Linked DNA regions of Coturnix japonica. The protein of the gene in region 1 binds, or shares a complex with, the protein of each later gene. Links are inferred from orthologs where the notes say so. Each region holds a gene or a part of one and is shown on either strand. Other genes may lie near its edges.

Evidence for each region.
Region 2: the proteins of RGS7 (region 1) and GPR158 are in contact, whole or in part, in a cryo-EM structure (PDB 7SHF), measured with the Homo sapiens proteins. The link is inferred for Coturnix japonica from reciprocal best matches to the Homo sapiens genes RGS7 and GPR158. Residues at the interface, in NP_001351815.1 of Homo sapiens: Gln35, Ile43, Ser55, Arg109, Phe110, Thr112, Pro113, Tyr114, Phe115, Lys134, Thr136, Lys140, Ala141, Arg142, Leu143, Leu145, Ala146, Asp147, Ala150, Leu153, Gln157, Trp164, Phe168, Met169, Gln170, Glu172, Ala173, Gln174, Lys176, Val177; in NP_065803.2 of Homo sapiens: Leu507, Lys508, Phe510, Leu511, Arg513, Thr514, Tyr595, Tyr598, Ala599, Thr602, Val603, Pro604, Ile714, Arg715, Leu718, Lys719, Tyr722, Leu725, Glu726, Tyr728, Lys729, Arg730, Met733, Ile734, Thr735, Asn736, Asn737.
Region 3: the proteins of RGS7 (region 1) and GNB5 are in contact, whole or in part, in a cryo-EM structure (PDB 7EWP), measured with the Homo sapiens proteins. The link is inferred for Coturnix japonica from reciprocal best matches to the Homo sapiens genes RGS7 and GNB5. Residues at the interface, in NP_001351815.1 of Homo sapiens: Pro19, Leu22, Val23, Lys26, Val30, Ile72, Val76, Glu77, His80, Leu81, Leu84, His88, Val207, Asp213, Ile214, Lys215, Lys216, Leu258, Gln261, Ile262, Trp265, Gln266, Gln268, Leu269, Arg271, His272, Arg273, Leu274, Lys275, Met276; in NP_057278.2 of Homo sapiens: Leu57, Glu60, Ala61, Glu62, Leu64, Lys65, Leu68, Glu71, Lys74, Leu75, His76, Asp77, Val78, Glu79, Leu80, Val83, Leu90, Phe93, Arg98, Arg99, Leu109, Lys117, Arg118, Ser134, Phe135, Trp149, Met151, Leu167, Tyr197, Ser206.

What each region holds. Positions count from the first base shown.
Region 1 is NC_029518.1:32,481,011-32,490,475, reverse strand, and holds the end of RGS7 (regulator of G-protein signaling 7), read right to left. Parts: exon of another isoform or gene 3,622-9,465; coding exon of another isoform or gene 3,571-3,621; exon of another isoform or gene 3,432-3,570; coding exon 3,234-3,431; 3' UTR 2,949-3,233; downstream 1-2,948. UniProt on the Homo sapiens protein: GTPase activator component of the RGS7-GNB5 complex that regulates G protein-coupled receptor signaling cascades.
Region 2 is NC_029517.1:15,018,435-15,027,899, forward strand, and holds part of GPR158 (probable G-protein coupled receptor 158), read right to left. Parts: intron 5,325-9,465; coding exon 5,222-5,324; intron 460-5,221; coding exon 242-459; intron 1-241. UniProt on the Homo sapiens protein: Metabotropic receptor for glycine that controls synapse formation and function in the brain. Acts as an atypical G-protein coupled receptor that recruits and regulates the RGS7-GNB5 complex instead of activating G proteins.
Region 3 is NC_029525.1:7,756,272-7,766,269, reverse strand, and holds the start of GNB5 (guanine nucleotide-binding protein subunit beta-5), read right to left. Parts: upstream 6,351-9,998; 5' UTR 6,232-6,350; coding exon 6,120-6,231; intron 3,010-6,119; coding exon 2,873-3,009; intron 1,220-2,872; coding exon 1,178-1,219; intron 545-1,177; coding exon 468-544; intron 1-467. UniProt on the Homo sapiens protein: Enhances GTPase-activating protein (GAP) activity of regulator of G protein signaling (RGS) proteins, such as RGS7 and RGS9, hence involved in the termination of the signaling initiated by the G protein coupled receptors (GPCRs) by accelerating the GTP hydrolysis on the G-alpha subunits, thereby promoting their inactivation.

The DNA.
Region 1 (9,465 bases):
GCGATTCCATATATTTGGTATTAAGAGCTTTCTTTCAGAAGAAAAATGTCTGAAGGAGCAGCCGCAGCTGGTGCTGTTGGATGGTTTCTGCTGGCAGCCCTGCCTGGTGCTGGCGTCTCACCAGCGGCATGCTGCCTCTCCAGCACCCAACTGCTCTGTGCATGAGTTCTCCTCCCTCATCAGTTCCGTTCTGGTCACCGCAATTAATTTTCATTTCTTTCTTTTGTCCTCACTTTCAGCTCATTAATTTTTGGCCAGTCTCCATGGCTTTTTCAGCTCAGCATTTTGCTCCTTCTCCCTTCCCTCTTTAAGGCCTTTTCCTTCCCTTTTTGATCTCATAGGTTCGGTGAGAAGCTTTTAATGGCAACTTACACAAGGTCTGACATCTGTTCTGCTGTTCTCAGGTCAAGCAGTCCCTTTAAAGAAAATCAGGATGGTCCCAGCCACCTCAGGAGGTGCTGACTGATGACTCTCCCCATAAGGACAGCCTCTTCCCTTTGGGTTTCTCCCTTGGTCCTTATTTTTCCTCAGCAGAATTAAGACCTCACTGGACTTCCTAATGGATACACCACTGTGAAACCAAAGCTATACTTCGTCTGCTTGGTGGTTGCCACAGTAAGAACAAATAAGCCTTGCCCTTGGTTAATCTTAATTTACAGAAGCGGATTTTCATAATGTTTGGGAAAAAAAACAACTGTCTTTTCTCAGTGGGGATGTAAAAATATATCATGCCTACCAGGAGTTTCCATTCCCACTGTGGCAGCACTGACAGATGACAGTGGAGGGACGAAGAGATCTCAAATAAAGGCTTTAAAAATCAACTTGCTGCAGAGAAGGTTTTGTTTGATTTTCTTTTTCAGCCAAATTCACTCACAGATAACAGTAGAGTTGCATCACTTGAAACACAGGCTCAAATGAAACATCAATAGAGCTACCTGGCTACTTTAAAATCCTTTAAATGTATACTTTAACCTTATAGCCATTGTGTTAATTTCTGTGCAAATATAGGAAAAGACTGCTATTCAGTATAAGCTTCATATCTACTGAGGCAAAAGAAGAACTAGAATAAAATGGGCCTAGGGATATAAATAATCTGCGTATTTTTATTGTCCAGACAATGTTGCAAAAGGCTTTGAGAAGAAATAACCACCATAATTTCCTTAGGGTAAAGTTGTATGAAATATTCAATGCAAGAATCTGAAGTGTTAGTTATTCGATGGGAATGATTCTTCAAAGCAGACACTGGTATCTAATTAGTTAAATCCTAAGGAAAAGCAGGCAGTATACCAGCTGATGCAATCGGTGGCAGCAGGAGTTGGGAAATAAATATCTCTATTTGGCACTGAGAAGTGAAGCAGAGCTCAAATTTCTGTGGATATCCTGGCCCCAAGTTCATGCCTCAGAGCTCTCATTTCTGCAGTAAAGGAAAATTAAATCTCAGAGTTTAAGATCTGGGGTTCAGTGTGACTATTTATTAGAATTCATCTAGCCTCCCTAGACTGAATATTTTGACTTGACCTAGATGGAGCTCTTGATAAAATCAAGCTCTCATGGGCATTACCAGTGTTCTGTGATAAAACTCAGCTCGGAAGCATTGTGCTGACAGAAACTGCAACACTTTAATGCAGTGATTATTATCCTAGTTAGAAACCAGAAACACTGCAGCATGTGAAAACAAAGAACAACAACAACAAAAACAACAACACAATTCCCTTCTCCCAGATCTCAACCAAGTAAATAGCAGGGGGGTAGCCATTCAAGGTGATGAACAATCTGTTTGTTCTTGGGTTTATTCATACCGTTTCTCTGGGGATGCTGCAGTCAGGGTTACAGCAGCTCAGCTCCCTTCTGCCCTCAGCAGCCCTGTCCCAGCGGCAGTAACGCAGGTAGGCATCTGGTGCTGACTGAGATGAATCCAGCACTAATCTATTCTAATGTACTGCTGGATTGTGTCTACAGCCAGCTTGCTTTGTGTCAGGAATGGGGGAGGTGGGGAGAATTATGACATTTTTAGGTTTAGTAGTCCCTCTGCAACAAGATCTCTGTTTATCAATATCACACAAAAGTGAGTACAGCAGATGGTACCAGCTCTGGCTGTCCTGAGCCAGTCCTGTGCAAGGCTAAAAAGGATCTTTCAGTACATTTGTCCTACACACCATCTAATGTCCTGGAGCTATTTGTCATTTGCCTTAGTTCATGCCACTGCTTTTCTACTCAGAGATTCTGCCACTGTCTCTAAATCAGATATTCGGTGAAAGTGCAGCTTCTCTTCTGCAAGCAGGGATATTATGGCTTTAGCTCCATTTAGCATCAGAAGGCTCTATATCCATTGTCTCATGGACAATGCCTACAAGCTCCTGTGAAACTATGAGTAGGTCTCTCAGGTGAATATCAGTATTAGACACAAATACAACAGCACATGTGAACTGAGCTCCTGAATTAAAATTGCATGTTTCTTCATTTTCAACCCCAGGTTTGAGCTCTAGTCTCAGCACTTCCAAACCACCGTTTCAGCTTAAAATGTTGCACTGCGGCACGCATGACGGCAAGGAGAAAGAAATGGTGACATATTTAGCAAAAGCATACTCATGTTCTCAGCCAGACTTGATCATGTCCATTCCTAAGAAAATGCAGTTCAGTTGATCTGCTCTTGGACAGCAACTGAATCGCTGAGCAGACTGTGTAGACTGCACCATTACAGCTAGCTTAAAGAAAAGTTTGCTTATGTGATGATGAGCAAGCTGGAAAGGTCTCACTGCTGCTAGCTTGCTAAAAAGAAAATGAAGAGTAAATGATTGTCAATAAAGTGTGTTTGGTTAGGTGTCACTCAGAGAAAGAAAATGCCATTTCATGTCACTTTTTAGAAAGCACAAGGTATGTAACTTTTGGGAATGGCTTTGCTCTTGACTAATCTTCCGATTTAGTATTAAAATCTCAAACTTCCCAAAGGAAAGAGACTCTGCATATTTTAATGAAAGATAAAACAACAATATAAACATACACAAATTTACAGAGGAAGGATCAACTTTAATACATCTGGAGTAAAAGGTGTTCTTTTTTAAATATGGTATAAAAATAAATGCAAGAAACATTAACAGAGAATATACAGACAACAGACAAAGACACAGGCTTTCTTTCTCAATGTGAATACATCAGTGAAATGAAACCTTCTGTGCTAATTTATTGTGCAATAAATGTGATGCCATATGTATATTTATTAATATATGCATTTTTTACATATCTTCCAGTTTTTGATTGACGTATTTTTTTTTTAAATAAACTGTGCCTAGCAGAAGCTTTTTTTTCACTGTACTTGAGCTTGCAGAAAATAAAAAGACACAGATCCAGCTTGATATGAAGGAGGAAGTGAGCAGACAGTTTTCGAAATGGAGGCATCGAAAGGCTAGAGAGTCCCTCGGAGTCTGTAATGCCTTAGTATACACAAAAGAAAACAAGTCAGGTCCTTGCTCATGCAACATCTTGTTCTACTGTCCTCTGATTCAGGCAATCAGTGAGCTACAAAGTATGTATAATGATTTGAGTCTGCTTCCATGCTACAAGGTGATCCTTTTAGTAGGACTGCACTAGACTGGTTAACCTCTTTGATGTGAGCGATTTCCCCTGAGGAAAAGATAAAAACAAAAAACAAAAACAGAAAACAGAGGCATGATCACTGCAAACCTGTTCATCAGCAACCACTCAGTGTTGCCACATCACTGTCAAATATCTAGGGGCACCAACTGGAGTCTGTCAAATCTTAAACCACAGGAAGCCCTGACACTTGCACACCTGCACTGCCAGCCAGCCATTCTGTTTCAGAGCGTAATCCAGCAAATTCAAAGGCCAGTTTTGAATGAGATGGGGTTTGGCTGTTAAGAAACTACTGCTGAGGGTTTTGCTGTTGGTCTCTCCCAGAACTACTTGAAGGTGGCCACCAGAAGTGAGGGTGCCTCGTGCTACTGCAATGTGCACACTCTAGTAGCTCCATCAGATTGCAGAAAGCTACTTTACAGTTCAAGTAAGAAAGTAAGAGGCAGATGGCATACAGGCAGGAAAGCAGCTTTTCCATGAAATTTGCAATAGACTTGCTGAGACTGCATATAATATTTATGAGGAGTATTGGTCAGGTATGTTACATAGAACTACCTAACACTGCATAGAAGGTGTTTGGATTTTCACATTGTATTTTTCCTCATCAGTTCTCCTGTTGCAGGAATGCTGTTTCAGTTTTTTTCAGAAGTTGTGTCCCCCAAGAGTTAGATGTACAGTGCAGGTAGGATAGTGTGGATATGTTGTGATGGCATATTTCAGGCAGACTTGAGCTTTAGCTGAGCCAGACAAAAGCCACAAAACCACACAAGATGTCAGTTAGCTCTCCTCAGGCCATCCTGCTGTGGCACCAATTCAGCAGAGGCAGAGCTGGCACAGCAAGCTTACAGCACTTCTCAATACACCACAGGGATACCCTGATAACATACCATAAATGGTTCATAAAAATAAAAAAGTAAAAGGTTCTATCCAACTTGTCATTTAAAGGATATTTAATATTTACATCTATTGCATTGTTCATTTTAATATCAAACTGACTTCAAAGAGACTCAGTAAGAAATGTAACTGTGAAGAGAGGACTTCTGCAGTAAATGGTAAATAAACTTATTCTGCCTTATCAATGATCTGTTAAGTAATCTGTTGTACTGTAACTCTGTGGAATGTCTGTTTGCAAGCTGGTTTTGAACATTTGCTTACATGCAATATTCCAGAATGGGTCTTGACAAAAAGAATAGCCATTTTACTCTTCGTGCTCTGAAATAAATGTCATACAGATGAAGGTGGATTTTCCCCCTACAGTGTAATCTTGAAGGGAAATAATGGTCTGTAATGTTGAATTAGATTCCTCATCTCTCAAGTTCACCATATTGCCTGACAGTAATAGCGCTTGCTTCTTAGAAAGACAGCATATCTCCTTCTAGGCATAGTCTTCTCCCTTTATCTAGCTGTAACTCTATGAATTTCTACCTACATTAAATTCAGCATTTTGGCACTAGTTTAGCCTTGAATTATGTTCTCCCATGATGTGGTAAGTAAGCTGTTCACACCACTAAGCTAAACACTTTTTAGATAACCAAAAAGCTTCCACAGCTACATGGCAGTGGACTACTACAATTTAAGACGGTATGCCCAAATTTATTAAGTGATTTTAGAGGTGATGCAGGGTTGTCAGTCTTGGACATAATCTAAGAAAATATTCAGCAAATGCTGATCTATACTTCTCATGGAGATTTTTGTGCTTAATTTTGCAGGCCTACATGCTTGGCTACTTTTTATAACTATGTAGGAGTTCCATGGGGTATGGAACTGTCTAAAAATGAATTCTCTCTGGTGGTTTCTATTAGTTATTAGAACAGTTCCCTCAGTAACACACTGGAAGGCAACACATGCACACTGGGGGGATAAAAACTGTGAATTAATTTTGTCTTCTCATCTGCAACAGCCAATTCTCTGGGCGTTGTAATTCCATGGAATTTTGAGATGAACCATTCTGGCATCTCTGGAATGAACTGTGATATTGCATAAAGTAGGAATTTTGGATCTAAGCATGGGCAAAAAACTATACATTCATGAGTTGATCTGACTTGATAACCTTATTCTATGTATTAACTGAAATTTTCCCTATAGATGCATTAAGATGTCATGAAAATTTTGTTATTTGGCATCACTTCCTCCCTGGTTACTGCTCACCACAGTAAGCTGAAAGACTTCGGATAGTTTTTCTCCTAATTTAAGGATTTCTCTGGATGACTTATTCTCCACCTTCCCTCTCCAGAGATTAATCTGATTTTTATTTGAGGTATAATGTTAATTACATTTCCATAAGCCAAATTTGGTCAATTATAACAAATGGGCAAGTTCTAAAACGTGTGGCATATGACTAATCACACATAGGAAAATGTCTGCTGTGCTTGCAAGATTAAAGAACATTCAAAAACAAATTCTGAAGTACTGGATTTTCATCTGAAGAAGGAAAAGGAGATCTTTACTATTTTTATTGTATTCTTGCCATCAACATGCAGGAGTATAGGGCCAAATTCTAAACAAGAGAAGGATTTTTGTCTTTTAGGTTTAATTTGGACATACAAATTGAAACAATTTAACAATTTTATGATAGCTCACCAGCCAAATGAAGCCTTGTGTACATATGCAAATGACCTTTAGAAACCCCTTCCAACTCTAAGGATTCTATGATACTGTGATTCTGTATCCCAACAAGGGAGTCAGAGTACAAGTAGGCTGCAGAGCAGCTGGAGTGAGTCAATTACATCGATGAAAACCAAATAACTGACCTCAGTATTCTCTCACCTACCTTAATGTATTAACTTCTTAAATGCAGAGTTGTCCTTCCAACTGTACTTTTAGAGAGCTTGGGGGAAAATTACAGAAGTATGTGCAGATTTATGAGCAACAAATATGCTGACTGACCTATTTATGTAGCTGGACACTCACAGCTTAGATAATCTGGCAAGTCAGTCAGCAATAACTTCAATTCATATGTGACATAAGAAACCAATGTGAAATTTATATAGGGACAAGAGTTGAAATATATGAAGGTTAAGAGATTAGTTTTTGAATTATTTTTCTTTCTGCTAAGCAACTTCAGTGACTCCTTTTTCAAGTTTCTTGATTGTCCCCAGGACTCATACTTCAAGCTGGTAGAACTAGAAAGGGAAACTCCACATCCAAAAGGGAGAATGGCATGAACCCTATTTGGGTCAAAATGAGACAAAATGAGGATTGGCTCTCACCATTCCTGATCTGCTCGTGTGTGGCATACACGCTGAACGCCAGCAGCTTGGCCAGCATCAGCAGGCAAAGTTCCCAGGTGACATCCCTGGTGCCACACACAGTGCTGAGATAAACAGCCCCTGGCAGGAGCACATCTGGAAAGGCACAGGAGCAGAAACAGTAAGTCTCTAGCCAGGATTTAGCCAGCCCTCGCTCCTCTAAGGCAAGCAAATGCAAATGAATTTAGCATTGCCTAGAGAGTCAGGATTTTGCTTTGATTTTCATCCAGCTGTGCTAGCGTATTTCTCTTTCAGGAAGGTGATGAAGAGGAGGAGGTTAGCATTTACTCAATTTAGGGGCCTATAGTGGGTATTTCAGTCCTTTCCTAATTTTGCACTGTGTCTGTTCCCTGTCCTGGAGCAGTTCATAGACAAAAAGCAGTGTCTGAGCAATTGCATATTCTTGGCATGTTCCAAACTGGGTGATACTCCCTCTTTCTCCTTCCCTGGTAATCTGCATATTCTGATGAGCTGCACTAATTTGTGCTTAACCAACAAGCTCTTGCCAGATGGGATAGTTTAAACTCAAAAAGCCAGTGAAAGGATGGGATAAAATCTAAGATTTTCTAAGATGCCAATGACACCATGTGCCATGACAGGTAGTTTGCTTTGGTATCATTCTGTATTTCTCAGTCTTCCAGTAGCTCAGTACACAGGCAAATATTTGTCAGCTGGGAAATGGCAGTCACTGTCCTAGTACCTGAATGGGAGTGCTCTGTTTCCTAATGGAGACAGACCCAGCTGTTGCCAGCAGCCCCTCTGCCCCAGCAAAAAACAAGGCAGCTCAGCTCATCATTGCAGAACTGGGCAAGGAGGCAAACCTTCACTGGTATCTCCTAAGGATTCTCCTTTTGATTTTTCTCATTAAGCTGAGCATCATTCCTCAAAAACAACCTAGATTTTTAGACTAATTATTAGTCTAAACTCAAAATTTCAATTATTATTATCATTGTTATTTTTCCATTAAGTCATTTCTTTTCTAAAAAAGAGAAAGTTCATTTCTATAATAATTTGTTATTTTTAGGTGAGGGGTTTTTTTTGTTTTGTTTTTTGATCTTTCAAAGCTTTGTGGTTTTTTTCTGACATACTGTTTTTCTTCCATGTTTTAAGAATAAACCTGTAAGCAAATTTCAAAAGTCTAACAAGGAAAACTTCCATGACTGCACTTTCCATAACTGAACAAAAGGTCCTACAGCTGGTAATGCATTAAAGCTTGTTCAAAATGCTATTCTCCAGAAAAATATAGCCCATTCTTGGATTTCAGAGCCAAGTGGACTTCTGGTCTGGCCCCCAGGTATGTAAAAAGTTGTTTTATCTGTCCAGAGAAAAATTTATTGGCTAATGGGAAATTCATATCTGCATTGTTTCTCAGTGAAGGGACAGTTCTTAACATGGCAACATCAATTTAAATATCTGTAAAGTTTATACCCCACTGAAAAGAAATGAGGAAGCTATTTTAAAGAGTTTTAATTTCCACTTCTAGACCATAATTTTCAGTTTTTCATATTAAGTTACACTGGACATTGGATTGCGAATGTATGCTGTGTTCCGTGGCCTTCATATTTCTTATCTCATGCATTAAATAGTCTAATGTTACTAGTTTGGAGAGGAAAATCCTCAAAGGAAACTGGTAAGCAAGTTCTAAGCTAAGTGGAAGCAGACAGCTGGAAAGAGCACAGGTAATGTAAGATATAGTGGTTTTAAATTCAGTGTTATTAAATGGGGTTCTTGCTTATGAGGCTACAAGTGAAGATATCATTTGATGACTCTGATTTAATAAATGAACTGAGTTTACTCAAATTTTTACTGGCTGTTTTTTCATAAAACACCACAAACTTGCAACAAGCCCATTTTTTTCACCTCTACAGTTAAGCAGCAACAGATAAAACTGTGACACTGGTGGTGGCATCTGAAGCTGTCACACCCACATGCAGTGATGGAACATCTCCCCGGGGTGGCTCTGAGGAAAAGACTGCACTTTCCTGCCCTGTTAACTGGTCTCCTGCCAAGACAGGAAAATTTGCATGTAGTGGAAAAGAAATGAGCCTATGTAAATGAGATGCTTTGTTCTGTGTTTCCGGACCACTGATCACAGCTAAACACGAGCAAGTGATCACAAAGGTGTGTTGCTCAGAGACTACCACTCTGTGACTGTCACAGTTCCTGATGTGAAGGAGAAATTAAAGTCTTCCTTAAAGGACCTCTTTTCTCCCATCAGTGTTATCAGTGCACCTTCCTTCAACTGTGGTTTTTCTTCTATGCTATGTAGATGTTATTACCTGAGATAGAGGAAGTTTCCTGACTTTATTTTGGACAAAATATTACATACAGCAAATACAAGTTTGCTATTACTTTACCTGTATTATGTCTTTATGTAAGCATATTTCTGACACTGTTCATATTGTCTCTTGCAGACCACCAAAAGCATTAGCAACTGCACTGTATAATGTACACAGCAAGCTAAATAACTAGTGCTTTTAGTTGTGCATACAGGGCTTTCATAAAGTGTACTGAATTTTTGAAAGCTTTCTGAAAAGAAAACTCCACTGTGTCAAGGAAATGCAAAGCTAAGCCTATTTTTTATGTGTAGATAGATTCACTTCTGTTTTTTCCCACCCTGACTAAA
Region 2 (9,465 bases), on another chromosome or scaffold:
TCTATAACTGTAAGGAGATGTCACTGGGAGACAACTGCTCAGCATTTTTTCAAACATTACATAAACAATTTAGGTTCCTCCTTGCAAAGCATTCCTGTTTGGAAATCTCATCTTCTGAAATACAGTGGTAATCCTTACCCAAGAAGGTGACTGTCCTCCAAATGAGAAGCTGTACACCTAACACAAATGAGCCTGTACTACACGGTGAGCAGGAAGATTAAAGTAAAACAAGGCTGCTTACCTTTGCCTTGCGAAAATGGTAGACTACCAGCATGCTTATGAAGTCCAGCAGCATACAGAGTGTTTGGAATGAGATGATAGCAAGCCGTAAATACTTGTCCTCCTGTGCATAGCAGGGAGTATCATCTTTACAATTAGAACATCCTTCCCTGCAGGGCAGGCAGGTGTAGACTTCCTCTGACAAGGCCCCTCCAGAAAAGCGATTATCTGCATCCTTTCCTGAAAATATGAGGTGGGGAAGGGAAGGCAACTTTAATTGTACAGTACAGGCATCTTATTCATACAGAAGCAAAACAGTTCTCTGCTTATTCCCTCGCCTCCCTGTTCTCCTCTTTCATTAAATAAACAAAGTAGTTTGCCAGGGCTGCTTTTGTCATTTCACCTCCTTTGTCACCTTCAGAAAACACAGATCAATTCAGACATGGGGGAAAGTGGGTTTATTAAATGCATCCCCACTGTATTTAAGATGGACAAAATTTGCAGAGGACATTCTTTGAAGGATACTTCTGAATGGGAGAAAATTACACCAGGGATTTAGGAACAAAGACACAAATTTACACAGGCACATGAAAAACAGATGCTTTAACTACCTAATGTTTACAGCACAAGCTTCGATCCTATTTGAGACTGTTTCTGAATTTCATAAAGACACTCTCTAGTGAAATGAGTAGCTCCAAATCAGACAAAACTCCTCTTAAATAACATTTATTCAGCAAACTGATATAAGATTGCACTATTCCGTGCCCAGATCAAAACCAGCACATTTACACTACATAAACGTATAAATGTGCAATTTTCTACAGTTCACTGAAACACACTAGAAAACCTCGAAATCCAACTGGCAATTTAATATCTTGTCTGTGAAAATCAATTGTTCCTGAGCTGACATCTGACCCATCAAAGCACACCAGCCAACAGAGCATACAGGAGCAATCCTGCTCTTACTGATCTGTAAGAACTTGCCTGTAAAACCCTACATGACTGCTTACACTGCATGAAACTGATAGAAGAAATGGGTGAAGGAAAGAGAAGAAAAGCAAAATAATGTTAAATAAGAAAGCAAGCAGAAATTGCTGAAAATTCATAACAAAAACACAACAAGTTTTGGAGCTTCAAAGACTGTGGCTTAGAGAACCAGAGAATATGGCTGAAGGCAAATAAATGGTGTTTTAAAAACCATGATAGCCCCTCTTGTTTTTCACAAGACTAGAGAATTGACCCAACATTTTTGATCAAAACTCTCCTTCTCCAGCAGTGATGTTAGTAAATCCCACGTTATCTAGTCTTAATTCAAGAGACAGAGTATTTCAGTGATGTTTCACATATGCACATTGGCGTTTCAAACTCTCTTCAGGCTTTTCACTTAAAACATTTGAAACTGAAAGTTATATACATGGGTAATTGCTTCTTTTTTTTCTCAAATGTATGTATGAATGTGCAGGAACACACATCTTCTGGCAGGCAAAGCTTCAGAAGGGCACAGAGCAGTCATATACCCCAGTCTGCTTGTTTGGTGTGCTGTTCCAGCAGCCATGTCCTCCTTGCTTTTAGAGAAAGGCTTCTCTCACAAATCCTGCAGTGAGAACAGGCTGGCATTTATTTTTATGAAGACTTTGGATTTCTCTTTGGAGAAGCTGAACTGGAGAGCTCTCCTGGGACTGGGGACATAGCACTGCTAGACAAATTAAGTCCCGTACTAAGACACGAGAGGTGTACAAGCACCTTTTTCTGAGTAGATTCCACATCCAAAAAGCAAGAGCTGAGGGGAATCTCTGCAATAAATTATTGTTGAAGAATCCAATTTTAGGTTGAATAAAGCACCAAAGTTCTACTAAGGATATTCCAATGCAAAAGTGATTAACCTGTGAGGCAGAGAACTAAGTGCTTGGAGATGACTGCTATGAAAATGTTAAAATGTATGTATTCATAAATTAATCTATTCTACTAATACTAATACTGCTTCCTCAAAGTGAGCCATTAGGAGAAAGTGCATAATCTTGTACTCAAGCAATTACAGGTTAATGCAACTTGTATGATTTTTCACATATCTTTTTCTAAAATCAGTTTCTGATGAGATTGAGTCACAAACCCTACATGAATATGGCTTGAAAATCCGTTATGGTCATAAACTTTATGTTCTATATTTCTTAAAAGTGCAACCTTGAAAGCTGATAAAAAAAGACACACGAAATACATCAGTAACTCTGTGCCTTGTTAGTACTAAGGGTCCTCATTAACCAGTTCAGCAGAAAAGAGAGAGGTTCTACATATTTTGGCACTACCAGTTCTGAAGTCCAAACTCAGCTTTGGAAGGAAAACAGCTCTCCTACCTGACTTCCTCATCAGTTAAAGAATGGTACAAATTTCAACCCCTGAGCCACACACAGTTCTGGAGCCTGCAGCATGAAATGTGCAACCTCCTGGGGAGCAGCAAAACTGTATTCTTTAAGTTAGAAAAGCAGAATCTTTCCTACTGAGGACAATGTTTATGCAACATTGCATCTCAGTGTTCAGGTCTCCAGCTGAGTTTGCTGAGAAGGCAGACGAGCAATCTTTGAAGCCTGCCTGCTGAGCAAACTGCATAGCCTGTCAAACATCCCTGCAAAGCCATTTTGTACCGCTGCCTTTCAGACTCAGCCCAAACACTCATCTGGACCTAAAGAGAACCTTGATTAGAACTTAAAACTCTGTCACTTCAGACACAATGCGCAACTGCTGTTAAACATATTTTGTTGCAGAATCCCAACATTACTGAGAAATGCTTCCATTTCAAGATACAATGCACTGAATTCAATTTTTCAATTCATGGAAGTACAAAAGTGATCAGTTTTCCTACCCACTTACCTATTTACATCTTATCTTGAGACCTGCAAAACTTACTTGCCTCTTGATTCTAATCTTCCAGGAATATTTCTTAAACCATTAACATTTCCACTCAGTTACATCTCTCTTATCAGGCCTCACCAACCTAATTCCACACAAAGATTGTCAGGTCAGACAGTTTCTGTCAAAATTACTTGTAGTATTCATGTCTAGAATCCCTGCATTGGTATCAGTTTGAATCTCCAAATATACAGTTTAGAAATTTTAACCATTTTTAATTCTTACAGAATGCAGTTGGATGACAGGGCTAAGTTCCCTTGAACCAGTTTTTTCTGTCATTACTCCACAGTTACTTCCACTATCAGTCTTACTGCTCACATTCTGAAATCATCTATACAGTGTGGCAACCAGAGCTGCATCTGGTACAATTAAAAGCAGTTCTTTGTTAATGACTTTTCCTAACCTCACGCTCACGTTAACTCACAGCAACACATGGACAAATCAAAGAAGTCCCAGATCATCTAACTCTGAGACCTTAAATGTCAGCATATGCAAACACTTCAGTGAGAAAATTTAAGTGTAAGTTATTTAAAAGCAAAATTTCTGACCTAAGTTTGCCATGTTGGCTCCTCCTTCTTTCGCACACAGAGAAAAGGGGTTATTTGCATGAAGAGTTAATTCCTCCATCTAAAGACGAGTTTCCAAAGCAGCAAGGCTACTCTCCAGGGGAGCCATGCTCTCCCTACTGACTACAGTGGAAACCAAGATGACTAATACATGTCATGCATCTGCACTTTAGACAGCTGATATAAGATCATAAGAATCCCATCCCTTATGATCAGTGCTGTTATCATCTCTAGTCATAATTTTTCTGCATTTTTTTTGCGTTTGGTATGATAAAAATCTAAGAACGATTTTTTTTAATATGCTCATTCAAAGAGTTAAATCCCAGTTCCATCATAACTCACTGCACCACAGGAGCAACCAAGCATCATTCTTACACTACTAAAAGATTCATACAGCTCAGAGAAAAAAAGAACACTATCATAAGGGTGACTTCTACAACATTCCACAATACGAAAAGGGAAACAAATGCTCACCGAGTAAATTTCTGACTAAACAATGTGCTACTTATGCAATATATATTTACAGGAAATCTAATATAGACTATTAGGGGTGAGATATCTTAGTCAGTTTATTCTCAGACCAGATCAGATCAATTAAAATGGGTCATCCTCTGACACAGAATGAATACATTTATGGGACTCATGACTGCAAATAAACATGAAATTCAAAAGCTTTCCTGATGTTAAAAAGCTATACATCTTTCACCTAAAATCACCAACACTTTTTAAATAAGAAAGCAAAAGCAAAGATTCTGGGGAAGGGATTCACTAGCAAAGTAGGAGGCAAAGCAGAATGCCCCATTACACCTTCAAGCAATACTTTTACACTTGTGACTGCAGTGTATACTGTATTAGTATAACTGCAACAATTTTAGCACAGTGATTATATCTTGGTGGTCATACTTTCATACAGTGAAAGTAATAGACAGCACCTTTGGAGACGGCTTCTTTACATGTTCTGTTTCCTTACTTCCCTTAACGCAATCCAAGTACCAAACACTGTGCTTTCCAGAAAGCATAGGCTGCATGTCTTCCATGCTGTACCACCAGGCAGACTCTCAGAGCTGACCCATCTCTAATTCCCCATTTGTAAGAATTAGAGCTTGAATGTGCTCCTTTAGATTCTCCTCTGAACATGAAGTAAAATTAAAACAATTAAAGCACTTACAAAACCAGAGGCCAGAGCATTCCAGTTTGCCCTAAGGAAGGAAGAAACTGGTAAATTAAATTTCTCAATACTTTTGCTTGAATATAGATGCCAGGAATCTTTACTTCCTTATAGCAAGACTTCTTTTCATATTTTTAAATTTATTTATGAATCAAATATTCTTAAAGTGGGTATGTTTTACAGGATCCTCAAGAGTATCACAAATGACAAACCAAAGAGCTAGAACTCCTTAAGTGATTATATAATCTGAGAGTTGCAAACCACTGGGATTTCACTGTATAACCCTGACTAGGATAAAAAGGAGCCCTGCATTATTAATGCTCTCTATGCTTTTTTCCCCCCTAACTCAAGCAAAGGCACTTACTCTGAAAGCTGTTCACTGAAAAGATGTTGGGATGATAGAATCCCTCCTTGCAAATACATTTGTAGGCTCCAAGCACAAATCCAAGACCTTTAATTGGCAAGCACTGTGAGAAAAGAAAAAAGAAAAGTAATGCAAATGATCATACAATGATATACTCAATGTACATTCAAGCATAAGAAAAACATTACAAGATACAGTGTGCAGACTTCGAAGAAGTGCCCCTGCCAGTCTTAACAGTATCTTCTCCGTGACTTTTCCCACAGCCATATATCACTCTGCTTTTTTTCCTTGCAGTTAATTACTAGGAAACAGCACAGTTATAAAACAACCTTTCCCATGACAATTCAAATAAGTGCCAGACAGACTTCTGTCCATGTGAAGCGGGACACAGTTAGCAGGCTACATCCACAGTACAGTTGAGAACAGGCCTATAACTAAGTCCCAGCCCCAAATCCCACCTCAAACATGTGCTGAGCCAGGGGACACATCTATCTCAGGTAGTGCCTGCAGAGCACAGCTCCAAGCACACTAAGCTACATCTGTTCTGGCCTCCAAACCCTCACCAGCAGAACAGAGGGGGCTCAGAGGGCTGGGGCTCACACAGCATGGAACAGCGTGGATGTCTGTGGCCCACCTTCTGCAGGCAGCAAGAAAGGCTGGGATCAGGGCAGACCCCCTGACTGGCAACCATAAATTGGTTGAGATTTACAAAGTCAAAACAAAGACAGCAACTGGTTAAACAAAATGACTGTGGCCTAAACCTGATCAAGGTCAATGACAGCAAAAAGGTAATGAGCGGGAGCCACATACTTCTGAGTTCCATTGCCCCTTTTCAAGGAAGTAACATATGAGACAAGTTTTGCTTTAACTCAGATTCATTTTTGCTATTTCCAACATGAAGACGAACAGCAAATTTATGACAATGTCAGAACATCTACTGTCAGACCAATACTGTACAAGAAATAGGCTGTGACCAGCACAGTGAAAAGGGTTTGGCAGTAATGAAATCATAAATGCTGGTAAAATGATTTCTCCCCAGTAATGCATACATCATTTTACCAGATAAAAGTAGGCTACCGCGCTAGATACCCGTCCCATCAGTATAGGTACAAACACACAGGTACCAATTTACTGCTGTAAATATGAAGTACACAGTCATATTTCCTCAAGGAAAAACTGAATGATATAAGAAAAGGACCTTCTGCCCTCTCAATTCTGCCCCCAATTTCACTTGCTTGCACCTGACTTTGACTTCAGGGTGTTTAAATCTCTGCCTGCCTGTGGCTGGGAGGAAGGTGCAGAAGGCAGGGCTTAATAAAAAGAAGATCTGAGTTTCAAAAATCAAAGGCAAACCAAGAGAGTACTTAAGGAAAACTCAAGTATTTATCTTGAATTTCAGTTTTGTGACATAATCCTGCCCAGCACTGAGAAAGCCACCTGGCTTTTCTTGCCCTCAAGTGGGCAGAGCCGTCTCTTTCCACATTCACAGTGCCAAACACGGTACATCAGTGCAGATTGGCAGGTGCTACTGGGAAACAAGCAAGCAGGAAACCAGCAAGAATAAACACCAAAAATTCATTCAGCCTGTGTAAACATGAAAGCAGGGAAAAAAGCAAAGAGAAGGCCCAAATCATTTTTCTTCTCACTTCATCTTCTGCAGAAAGGAGACTGCTGACAAGGTGGAGAATTGGAGAAATCAAAATGCGTAAATCCAATGACAACAAAGCCTCTTTTAGCCAAGCACAAAAGAAGAAGCTAAAGAAGGAGAAAGAATGAGTGAATTCTGTCATCTCCAGCACCTTTCAGTCATTGTGCTTCAGGAAATGTATTTCAGGGGAAAATTCTGTTCGTGCTTTCTGGCTTCTTCCTTTATAACATGAAGGTACACGCTGCTGTAGATAACACAGTTTCATTCTGAAGCCAACAAAGAAAAGAGCGAGCTTCGGCTGAGCCCTGCAAACACCACAGCACACCAGGACCACAGCCACAATACATTCTCACTGCACAAAATCTTCACTAAAGAGGTGTCACAGGCTCATAAATCTGCTCTGTATTAAAATGAACACTTTTTACCGATGATTCTTTCACATACATCCTATACTCATATTAACAGCAGTTCATAACTTTTCTGTTTTATCGTTCCTAACCAGTACAGAACTTGAAAATGAGCAGAGTATTTCAAAAACTGCTGTCTTCTTTGATGTAAGATATTATTCTTGCTTCCAGTCCTTGGCAGCTGCAGTGTACAACTTAAGAACTGCTGGTCAAAATCTATGTCAGGCAGTCCATATAATCCCATGAAAGGCATAAAAGGCATCAGAAGATCAATCTGTTGAAAGGAGAGGAGGAGAAAAAGCGAGCCTGGATCCCTCCAGAAAGCAGTAACAGTTTTACACTGTACTCAGAGACTACAAACGTTGAATGTAAATAGAGCTATTTACAGGTTATTTGTTGTGTTTTGTTTTGTTGTTGCTGTGTTGGTTTCTTTTTATAGAAATTGCAGCAACAAGGCAGGGAAGAATATCATATGGCCAAAAGGGGGGGAAATACTTGTAAAAAACCTCCCTCTTTTTGAAACTGATTTACAAGTTATTAAGCATTACGGAGATCTTAGTCCTCCTAAGGCTCTGCAGAGTATTAGGGGAAGAGAAAAAAAACACCACACACTAAAAACGCGGCCAGCCTTGACTTTGAATATTTCAAATTTTTCAAAGCACAAGAGCAGCTTTCAGAATCTGTATTTCTGCATGCATACATGATAAGGATGACTGCCTCGCCTAAAGTCAACTCCTTGTTCAAAGACTGGAGTGAGAGTAAAGTAAAGCCATGACAGATAAAGTTTAACAGAAGCATGACAAATCAAATCACTCCCTGCAGTGGCATAGGGCAGCACGGGTGCAATTTCTGGAAGATCTTGTAAAAGTAAGGGTTGGTTTGTGCTGGCCCATGACTACAGCTGGAGTGGGTAGGAGTGCTGCCAGAGCGTGGGGGCTCCTTTCCCACTGCTTACTGCACTGTCAGGCGCAGTCACATGGGGAAAGGAACAAGAGAAGACAGATAGAGTAAAATTTTGTTCACTGGAGTCAGTAACAGGTGTTTTTTTTTCATTGAAAAGGATTTAACCACTATATTTGCTCTCTTCATTTACCCACCATGAGCAAGATTTCATTCTGAGATGTGTTTGTAGCCTCCTCAGAAGTCTGCAGCATCCCTGGCCTTGTGTACACACCTGGGAGTCAGCAGTTTGCCTCTGGTCTAACAATGCTACTCACAAGCTTCTTGTCTTCAAATGCATTTTATTTCAAAAGGAAATGATAGAGCCGGTCAATCCATATCCTGCATTTCAGGGTAACTTGGTAGGCTCCCATAACTCTTATCCTCTCTCCCAAGTGCATCACTGTAGATCTTTCTTTTAATAAAATTCAAATTTGAGAATGTGTTTCCCAGCAATGACGTACTTACTATAATGATGGTGAATTGCTTAAATCCTGAGTCAGACAAAGCAATAGCTGATCTGATTCAGCTTGCAGCAAAGGCAGGCATCGGGAAAATATTTGTCACAGGTGAGTAACTGATGATTTTTTAGCTTTGCTAAAAACTCCACGCTGCTTTTTAATGTTATTAATGCTCTTAATTCTGATTTTGTTCAGCTATAGCACCAGTGTAAGCAGTGATAGTAAGGAGTTGCAGCCCATTCACACTAGTAATTAGAAACTACATATGATCATGAAAGCTATTATTAATCTTAGCTATAAGTCAAAACACTCTTGAAACAGAAAAGGCTATTAGCAATATGTATTTCATTAGGATACTTTGGCTACTAATGGTAAATCACAAATTTGCAGAAATACTGATGTCAAATCGGGCACAGTGCTGGCAGGAATCACAGATTCATTAAGGTTTGAAAGACCATTAAGGTCATCTAGTCCAACTGAGGCCAACCCATGCCAGTGACCGCTCAGAGCAACATCTACCCTTACTGGAAGTTCCTGCTTGCAGAGTCTCTAATTCCCTTTTCTGCTGTGTGTAGAAGCTTGGTCACCCGGCTCTGTGTCTGAGGAACTTGAAGGAACTTGCTTAGAAGAGAGTAAAGCCAAGTGTTCTAGTGTTTGTGTGCAGGTTTCCTGGTGTGAGGGCTCAGCATTAGAAAACACATCTTCAGCAATTGCCATATATATAGAAAACCCAGCCTCAACTTACAGATGAAGCTTTCTCAGTCCAGATCATGAAAGCACAGTAATTAA
Region 3 (9,998 bases), on another chromosome or scaffold:
AAAGTTGAAGATAATTATCAAGGACAGGGTCCCTTCCCCCCACTTCATCTCCACAAGATCTATTCATGTGCTGATAATCCTTATCGGACAACCTTTCTCTCTACCTCTTAGAAGAAAGAAAGCAAAGGAAGAATAGGGTTAAAACCACTCTGCCTTAGAAGATATATCCAATGCACACAATCAAATTGGAACAGAGAACTTGCATGCATGCAGAATTCCTAACACATGATATAAATGCTGAAAGAGGATTATTTACCATGCTTATACAACAGATGTTATTGCACTGAAGTCAGTGGAGACAAAATGGATGAGCCATTATGGGACTAGAAACAGAGGCACTGAATATAATCCTCCCATCCACAATCAAGGCACGCAAGCTTCTAACTGTCGGCATCTTGTGAAGGCATCAGGAGATCCCTGCAAATCAAGTCTCTCTGCACAAGCAGCTGGGGAAACTGGAAACTTACCCACAAGCAATGGCACATCCAGACGGGGCATATGCACATGCCATCACCCAGGTACATGGCATTGTCACAGCGTGTTCCTGAAACACAGTATCTCACTTTAAAACTTAGAAATCACTACTTCCCTAACCCAGCAAAACAGTAGTAGGACAGCTACTCCGTACCTGACTATTGTCACCTTATTCATAAGCCCCAAACACAGAGCATGTTTTATTGCCACTTGGTGTTGAAAATGTCAGTGTGGTACATATGTGGGTGAGTTAGAAACAAGCTGTATTTTCACAGCTGTCTGAAGAAAGGAGAGTCCTGACAGAGCTTAGAGAACCAGTATTGTCATATCACAGTAAACACCATGGCTAAGAATCCCTGGTGATCACACATGGCACCTTGCATAGCTGTTACCCAGGGAAGTTTTCCATTTAACTAGCCTGGCTTTTCCTCCAGCCCAGGGGCATCCCATCAGTGACAGGATTGGATTGGTACATGCTGCAGACCATAACAAATAACAATGCCCTTGTGGGGACTTTGCTCAGAGGCAAGTGAAGGGAGATGATTTGTGTGGGCTCCTTGCTCTGAGGTGCTGGTGGAGGCTTGCAGGCTATTCTATCACACTGCTGTCACCTGTGCCACCTGTTTGCCCTTCAGACCTCCACTGTATCCCACCGCTGTTTGCCCTCTGCACAGAAATTGGACCTTTGCTGACTTTCACCTACCTTATTGGTAGTGAACGAATCCCACACAATCACCTTCCCATCCTAAATGAAAACACACAAACAGAGAGGTACAACTGTCAGCTCACATTCCAAATTTGGAGGAAATTCTGCTGCTCATTGATATCCCCCAGTCTGATACTTCATTTTTGTCTCCATCTTAACAACATTACAACAGTTGCAGTGAAGCACCAAGGAGATGATTCTCACTGGTGCTGGTTATTTCTTTTACAAAAAGAAAACTGTATTTCCTTCTGAGATTACTGATATCAGATTAAAGACTGATCTCTTTTTAAAAGGGTTTTCTCAAGCATGTTTATGAGAACTTGTTTTGTCTGCTCAACAAAGTCAGAACAGAACCACCTCAAGAAGTCATTGCTAGCGAGTGCTCACCTGCCTCCTTTCAGCCACAACGTGTTTCCCCCAGCCTGCAATCACCATCTGCAAAACCAGACACTTCTCCCATGTAAAACCTGTTGGTGGCTCAGTCCAAGGCCTTACAAATACAAGAGGTGACCTGTATTTCAAGTCATTTTCCCAACAGGGAACATGCACAGAATCATTTATGGATACTGCAGTGTTTATTCATCTTCCTTTCCTGTCTTTTTCTATTTTCCTCTTTACTTCTTGCTACACTTACTTCAATTATCCACTGTTACAATCAGCTAAATAGCAATTGTAACAACACTCCACTGAGAATAACATACACTTTATGTATGCCAGCAACAATCAAGCCAGTAACTTTGCCTTAAGTGCATCATATTGGTTGTCCTTCCAGCTTCGTGAAACTGAAATGTTTATTGGTAAGTAGGAATTGTTGCTATATCTGGACTCGTGTCAGTTCTTAGAAATGGAGACAAAACGCATTACAACTTTACTGTTTAGCTTTCTGATTTACACAGTGGCATTTTAACTACTAAAAAAAAACAAAACAACCAAACCCGTCACATTAATTATTTAAACTTTGATTCTCTTTGCTAAAATCACCATGAATGGTAAAAAACTCACAGTAACTGAAGGTGGCTTGCAATGCAGATTGCCTATTTTTATCCCTCTGGTGAGACCCCTGACAGATTTCATATAGGTCAATGAACAGCTGTGTGATGCAGCGAGCTCACTCACTGCCATACTGGGCGCATGATGAACCAGGGGATCTAGAAAGTAATTATCTTATTACCTCCTACAGCTCATGAAACTGGTCTTGAGCAGGTGGTAGGACAGTTTCTCAAAATGCCCAAGTAAATGCAGTAGCTTTGGCAGATTGTTTGAGGCTTTTAAGGGCATACAAGATTGTGGAAGAAACGTTTGCACACAGGAATCTCTGGAAGAATTAATATCGCTTTCCTTCCCTTTTCCTGATTGGTTTTTGTTAACACATCAAGTGAAATCATTACTGAACATTAAGTCTGTAAAGACCAAGGCAATAAAATTATGAATTTGCCTCAGATGAATTCTTTCTATTTTTTTTAGCAGTAGGGAAAAAAATGACTGCAGAAGTGACATTTCGGGTATTAGTATGTAGTTATGCTCAGATTTGTGCTCTCTGAACAAATACGCTGCAATATACAGCTTTAAAGGCATACTGAAAACATGTACATTGTGCAAAGGTATCATTTGAAAAGGGCAGCACATAGTACAGCTAAAAGATCAGTATAATTCCCAACGTTGTCTTTGAAGAACACCCGCCCAGTGGCATACCTGGGAAGAGCTCACAATTCTTCTTTTGTCTTTGCACCAGTCCATACAGAGAACTTTGTTTCCATGGCCCTTCAGGGTCCTCCTGGTCTTCATCACAAACTGGCCTAATGCCTCCACACGCTCTGCCACCTGATGAACTGCAAACAGCTGATGGTTAGGGAACCTTGCATTGAAATTGTGCCACAGAAAGACTCTGCATGTGTGAGTAATGTCACTTGGAGGAATTAATCCAAGAAACACGAGCCTATATGCAAGCCAAAAGGTCTGCCTTAGAACTGGCAGGTGATAAAACCAAGGTGGGAGGTGTATGAATATATCTACCAAAAAAAGATATGGATGCACTCAGTCACAGATTGAATTCCAGGACTGTAGCAGCTGAAGCACTTGCACGCTATCATTCCCAAGCATAACTGGAAAATCAATTACTCACCCCCTTTCCTCCCTCTCACTGTCTGAGGAAAACCCTCAGGCTGGCTGTGGCTTGAAAGAGCATCCCCAGCCTCACCCACACCCTGAGGTGCTCAACAGAACCGAAGATCACTGCTGTGTCTTGGAGGAACAAATCATACAAAGAAGGGGATAAGCATCAAATCTCAGAAGTTTTCACTGTAAAACATTTGTTCTGCATGTGAGACTCAGTGTGATACAGCTACCAGAGACTTCTTGTCATGCCATCCCCACTTGATGCCCAAGGGCCAAGACACAGCTCCAACTGAGCAGGGAAATGAAGGAGATCAGAGGGCCAGAACACCTCTCCTGTGAAGAAACTCTGAGGGTGTTGGGCTTGGAGAAGGCTACAGGGAGACCTCATTGCAGCTTTCCTCTGCTTGAAGGGAGCCTGCCAGCAGGAGAGAGATTATTACAGGGGAAGATAGTGACAGGAAAAGGGGGAATGACTTAAAACTAAAAGAGGGGAGATTTAGGTTAGATGTTAGTCCTGCTTAGAGCTGTGGGTGCCCCATCTCTGGAGGTGCATGAGGCCAGGCTGGGTAGACACTGGGCAGCCTGATTTGGTGGGTGGCAGCACAGCAGGAGAGTTGTAACTGGATGGGCATTAATGTCCTTTCCAATGTAGGCCATTCTATGATAATGGGATCCAGTGCTACCTCATGTCATGTTTGTCCATAATGAAATATAAGACAACACAGCTGCTGCTAGCTAAGGGCACAATACCTGACTCGAATCTTTAGAAATAAATGCAGAAGCTCACACACTTCAATGAGCTGGCAGATGAAATGTTAAGCTTTTCAGAGCCTTGCTAGAGGCTGAGGTCCACGCTGTGTGGGATGGGTGAGTGCTCTAGAGCAACGTTGCTGCTTTACTCTGTCACTTTTCTAGAGCACCTGCAGGTGTCCTTCACTTTGAGATCAATCCCTGGCACAGGGTCAGGGGAGAAATTTCTGCCTAAGGCAGGGGCTGATTTCAAGCAGTTTAGATTTTCAAGTCTTTCAAAACCATCAGCCCTATGGGCTGTGCCAGAGCAATGCTCTGCCTGAAATCTCTGCTTGCTCAGCCTCTCCCAGCCTGGGGCCAAGTGCTGCCCACCATCCTCAACCATCTGACCCCACTATTTCCAATGAGAGGTCAGAAACAAGTTTCTGATTAGTATCCTATAGGCTTACTCAAGAAAAGGTACATTTTCCCCCTATATTTGCCCACTGACACCTGCTCAGTAATCCAATCAGAAGACACGAATGCACGGGACAGGAGGTTATTATGGCAGCTGGAAAGACGCTTGAGTCCAGAACATATCTGAAAAAACAAACATTTCACAGACAATAGCAAAGTCTTTCCATTATGTCAACACAACTGAGACTCTGTGGAATTGTCTGGTTTGGCTTTTACGTTCAGTGAGGACGCTTATCTCCAGCCACAGCCATAATAAAGCTGTACCCGCCTAGCACAGGTTTCAGAGTCAGATAATCATTTTGAAGCGTTCCCTGACATTGTTTCAGGATAGTTGAAAATTATGCACTCAGACAAACAGATCAGCTGCAGCCAGTAATTAGCCTGAGTGGTTTTACAAAGGTCCAGATAAAACATGCTATTTTTATAGAGCATATGGTTTGGCCCAACAGGAAGTGGGGATTTGATGCAGATACCACCGGGTCTTTGATCTTTTCTGTGCTGGAAGTCCTAATGGTATCTCTGGCCTTAAAAAGTTATGGCTCACGTGAACAGGACAAGCTGTTTTATTTATACCCCACATTTTAAGTGAGAGAACCGAATCCCTGAATCTGTAACACTGTGGCTCAAATGCACGTTTGGTATTTCCCCTTTCTGTCCATGTTTCTGAGAGCTGCTGTTCCAAACCCACTGAACAAATAAGGGCAGTACCAGTTCAGCCAGATGTTTGTTTTGGGAGCCACAGAGGGAGGGTCATGAACAGAGGGAAAAAATGCAAAAGATACATTTTTAGATTAAAAAGAGAGAGAGAGAGATGCCTTATTTTGTTATTTATAACCTCTGCAGAAATCGCTCTTGGGGATAACTGGAACACAAAATAAACACTCTGATATAGAATTGACTGGGAGGAAGCACTGCCCTACATGAGCATAAGGACATGGAAACCATGACACGGCCAACGTAAGTTACAGATTTTACGTGTGAGAAAAGAGGTAAATATCCTACAACTGCAACGTCATGTCCTTTACAGCATCACTCCAACCGTGGGTGAAACTGCTTTCCTGAGCAAAGGTGGATTTAAGCGTATGCCAAAGGGGTCTGTCAAAGAGAGGCCCCACTGCTACTGATACGGCAGTGGTGCTGTATGGATGTGACGATTTATGGTAATGTTTCTGTAATGAGGCCATCTCCCTTTGCTTAATGACTCCTATTGATAGGGCGTAAATTATGACCGTCAAATTCAGACCAGAAAATCCCCTATTTACTGCAGACCAAAAAAAAATAAAACATGAGTCCCTTTTAACCCTCCCACAGCTGCTATTCAGCAGCTCTTTAGGAAACAAAAATTGAAGGGGCCGCCTTCAATCTTTGTTCCCGTCCCTGAGATGCGCGTTGTAACGCCGGGAGCGGAGCTCCGGGCCCGGCGCTGCGGAACCCCGGGGCCTCCCCCGCCGCCCCCTGCGGGCACGGAGCCGTCCGTCACGGCGCCCCCCGGCCGCATCCCCGAGCACGGTCCGGCCGCTCCTCTTCCCCTCCCGGCCCTGCCCGCTCCCTTCCGCCCGTTGCTGCCCGACCCGGCCAGGCCGCTCTCCCCTCCGCCCCGCAGCCCGGCCCCGCTCACGCTCCACGTCGTGCAGCTTGGCCCGCTCCTCCTCCAGCTTCCCCTTTAGGCTCTCCGCCTCGTTCTTCAGCGAAGCCAACGTCTCGTTCTCGTGCAGACCCTCGGTTGCCATCTTTGCAAAGGAAGCGGCGAAAGACAGATGAGAGGGAGGGAGGAGGAGTTTGTTGCCCGGCTCTCAGGGATGCTCGGAGGCTCCTGCTGCCTCAGCAACGCTCCGCGGCCGGGCCCCCCCACCCCCCCACCCCCGCACGCTGCCGCCCCGCAGCACGGCGGTCCCCTGCTGCAGGTGCACCCAGCCCTGCCCGCTGCCACAGCTCAGCAATACATGGCAGCGGGGTGATGCTGTGTGCCAGAATGAATCTGTACCGCAACTTTGCACGCTCTGTTGAGGGAAGGATGTCATCTTCCTAGACTTCAGCAAAGCCTTTGACTGTATCCAGCGGCATTAATGTGGAGAAGCCCCTACAGAGGGACCCGGACCGCCGGGCTGAGGCGAACTGCGTGCACTGCAGCAAGAGCAGGTCCTGCATGTTGGTCATAGCAACCCCATGCTCTGCTGCAGGTTTGGGGCAAACTGGATGAAAGCTGCACAGTGGAGAAGGATTAGCAGACTGTGCTGGAACATGGACCAGCAGTGTGCCCAGGTGGCCAAAAAGACCAATGGCATCCTGGCTTGTGCCAGAGATAGTGACTGTCCCTGTACACTGGCACTGGTGAGGCCACAACTCCAGTGATATGTCTGGTTTTGGCCCCTCTCTGCAAGAAAGACATCGAGGCTCTGGAGTGTGTCCAGAGAAGGGTAATAAAGCTGAGAAGGGCCTGGAGAGTGGCTTTCCCAGCCCTCAAAAGGGACCAGTTTCCAAAAGTCCAGAAAGGGACAAAGAAGCCCCCAGCCTGGTCTTATTGTGAGCATGGGGCACAGCTCCACACCCCAGCAGCCTCTGCTCACAGGTCTATGGGAAGCATGTACTCTGGACTCAAAGTAACTATAACATTTCCAGAGAAAGGACTGTGCCAAACTGCCTTGCAACTCTCTGTTCCCTGGGAATTCCTTGAAAACGTCCTCTTTTTTCAGCAATTGTCCTTAATCTACATGGAGTAACTTTGCTCATTCTGACTCCCATTGTCTCCCTTTCACCAGAACACAGACAATCCAACAGCTATTGTTCAACCTGGAGAAGTTCCAAGATTGGAAAGGGAGATAATAAAGTAAGGGTTTGCAGCTGTTGTTTGGACTCAGGGCACATCCTGGACACTGTACTGGAGAAAATGAGTCCTTTCCCACACTGGCTTAGCAGCGGTGCCACTGCCCAACTGGGACACACAGGCAGAGCTGCTGAGCTTCCCACTGTCACCATGGAGGTGGATTTCAGGCCTAGATCTGGTCCTGTGCTCCAACAGGGAAGTGTCTCCAGAGCAGAGCTGTAGAAGTGTGTGACACATGGAATATATTTTGTGCACCTAAGTTAGGTAACACTATCATTAGCTAACCACGCAAAATAATCCAAACAAATTAGAGTAAGGCCATTTGGGAGTTTCAAATAAAGCAGGTTTGGGTCATTTTAATGGATAACATTCTACCGTATCAACTTCCAAAGAAAAAATGTTACCATTTAAGAAGCAATCAAATATTTTCATTCCACCCTTTTCATAAAATCTAACCGTACTGAAGGTGATATACCTTTTTTTTTTTAGTTGTATACAACTTCTTACCACAATATTAGAGCTGACCACATTTAATCTGACATAGCAGCTCAGTCTGCAGCAGTAGATAAAATATAGGTCCTCCTAGTTTGTGTTCTGATTTCAGGCGAGTTTCAGAACACATCAGCACAGGCCAAAATGCTGTGAAAACATCCTGTATGGAAGGTATGGCATGTGGACAGCGTGGAAAAGCAGCAACTGGGCTTTGTAATGTCATTTTCCATTAATGATGCAGTAATGGCTGGTATTTAATTTCTTTTTTGCTGTCACTTTGTACTGACCACCAGCAGTGCAAATGAGAAGCTACAAAAGGTCTGTCCAGTTGCACAACACATTATGCACACCCATGCACAAACACCTGCCTGGCAAGGACACACTGTGCACTGTGACATACACCAAAGGACACCCACAGCTCTGAAAAACCAGTCTGAAAAAAGGATGCTGCTTCCAAGCTGTATGTATTTCACTATTGGTGCAAAGAGCTGTGTTTGTTTTTTGGTTTTTGTGGGGGTTTTTTATATATATAAAATAAATATGTAGAAGAAAGCTAAATCCAGATCTACAAGAAAGGCTGGGATCGTACTGCAGTGCTAATACAGTGCCTAACAGGCTGTTAGGGATGGAGGCAATTCCTCCTGAAGTCTCAGTCTGTTTCCACTTAGCAGCTGTTTCTGGTGGTAACAGTCTAACTTCCACATTGCAAATGATAAGGAGAAAGTTACAGTAACTGTACATAGCAACCAGCCAGTTTCCTGCTATGACAGTGTGCACTAACCAAGTCATGCAAAAATGTACCAGATAAATCACTATTTATAGGCTGCTGGCCAAGAAAGACCTGAGCAAAGCAGCAGCTTCAAAGGCATTAGAAGAGAATAAACAGAGAAGAAACCATCTTTTGTCTTGCAGTCACTACATCTGAATTTCTTTCTTGACAACGTGACAAATGACTGTACTGCACACATCTGCAGTCACCACATCAGTGCTCTCATCTGCCCCTTTTACTGTATTTTCCAGTCACAGCTAGTTAATACTTCTAGCATTCCTACAGAGATCACTTCACCTGATGCTCAAATATAACACTCTGTATTGAAAGCTGTTCAGTTATGGTCACAACCAGTTCTGGGGAAGGAGAGGGGAAAGGTATCTATAAATGCTGCTACACTATTGTTCAGGAGGATGAAATAGTTACTCCAAGTTGGAGTATAATCAGGACAATGAAATCCCTAAGTTTGCAAAAGCAGTTTTGGAAATAAGCTCTTCAGTCGCCATGTAAGTACCTGAGCTTTGTATCTAACTACAAAAAACTAAAACAAAAACAACTGTGACCACATTGGGACGGTGTTTCCTACCAGGAGAGTGGGTTATCACCTCACCACTAACTGCTGAAGATTAAGAAGTCTCCATCATCATTCCTTCTTCATACAGGTTTTCTGGCAGGACCTTCTGTGGTGGTACACACACAGAAGAGCCACCCCTGCTATGCAGCCTTTCCTCGCTGTATCCTCATTGCAGCTACCTACAACTCCCTCAGACTCCACACCCGAGTACTGCAGGTAGCATGCCAGACAACAAGGTTTCAGCCTGGAGTGGGCCATGCACAGAGCACTCCAGTTCTGTGTCTGAGGAGAGCTGCAACAGTTCGACTGACCCCAATCTGCCAGTCTTTGCTGAGTCAGCTTGTTGCAAAAGTTTTGTCTTTTTAATGTGTTGTTTAAGGGAGACAGTCAAGATCATAGGCTAAGCAGACTCACACACATATACCTCAGAGCCCTGTTTGGACAGGCACATAACACGTGCATAGCTAAGGAATGCAGTGCCCTAGGGAAAAGAATCTCATGGCCACTTTCCAATCAAGAATCAAAAAACATATCCTTGAACCCAGGGTCACATCTGTTTCAGGCTTATGGAATAACATCAAGTGTTTGCAGAGGTGTCGACTTGAATTAGAAGTGGCCAACCTTCAGGCCTAGCAATGCTTGCTTCTGTCCAGAAAAATCCAACACAATGGACTATTAATACATCCAACCTCTACTTTTTGCAGTCTTTTCACATTCCAGATGATATAATCAATAACATACCATTTCCACACATAGTGAGCAGTAGCTGAGCTGTTCTGATTTGATGTAAACAGCCCGAAGGGGCTTCTCTTTGGAGCACTTGTCACACGGACCAAAT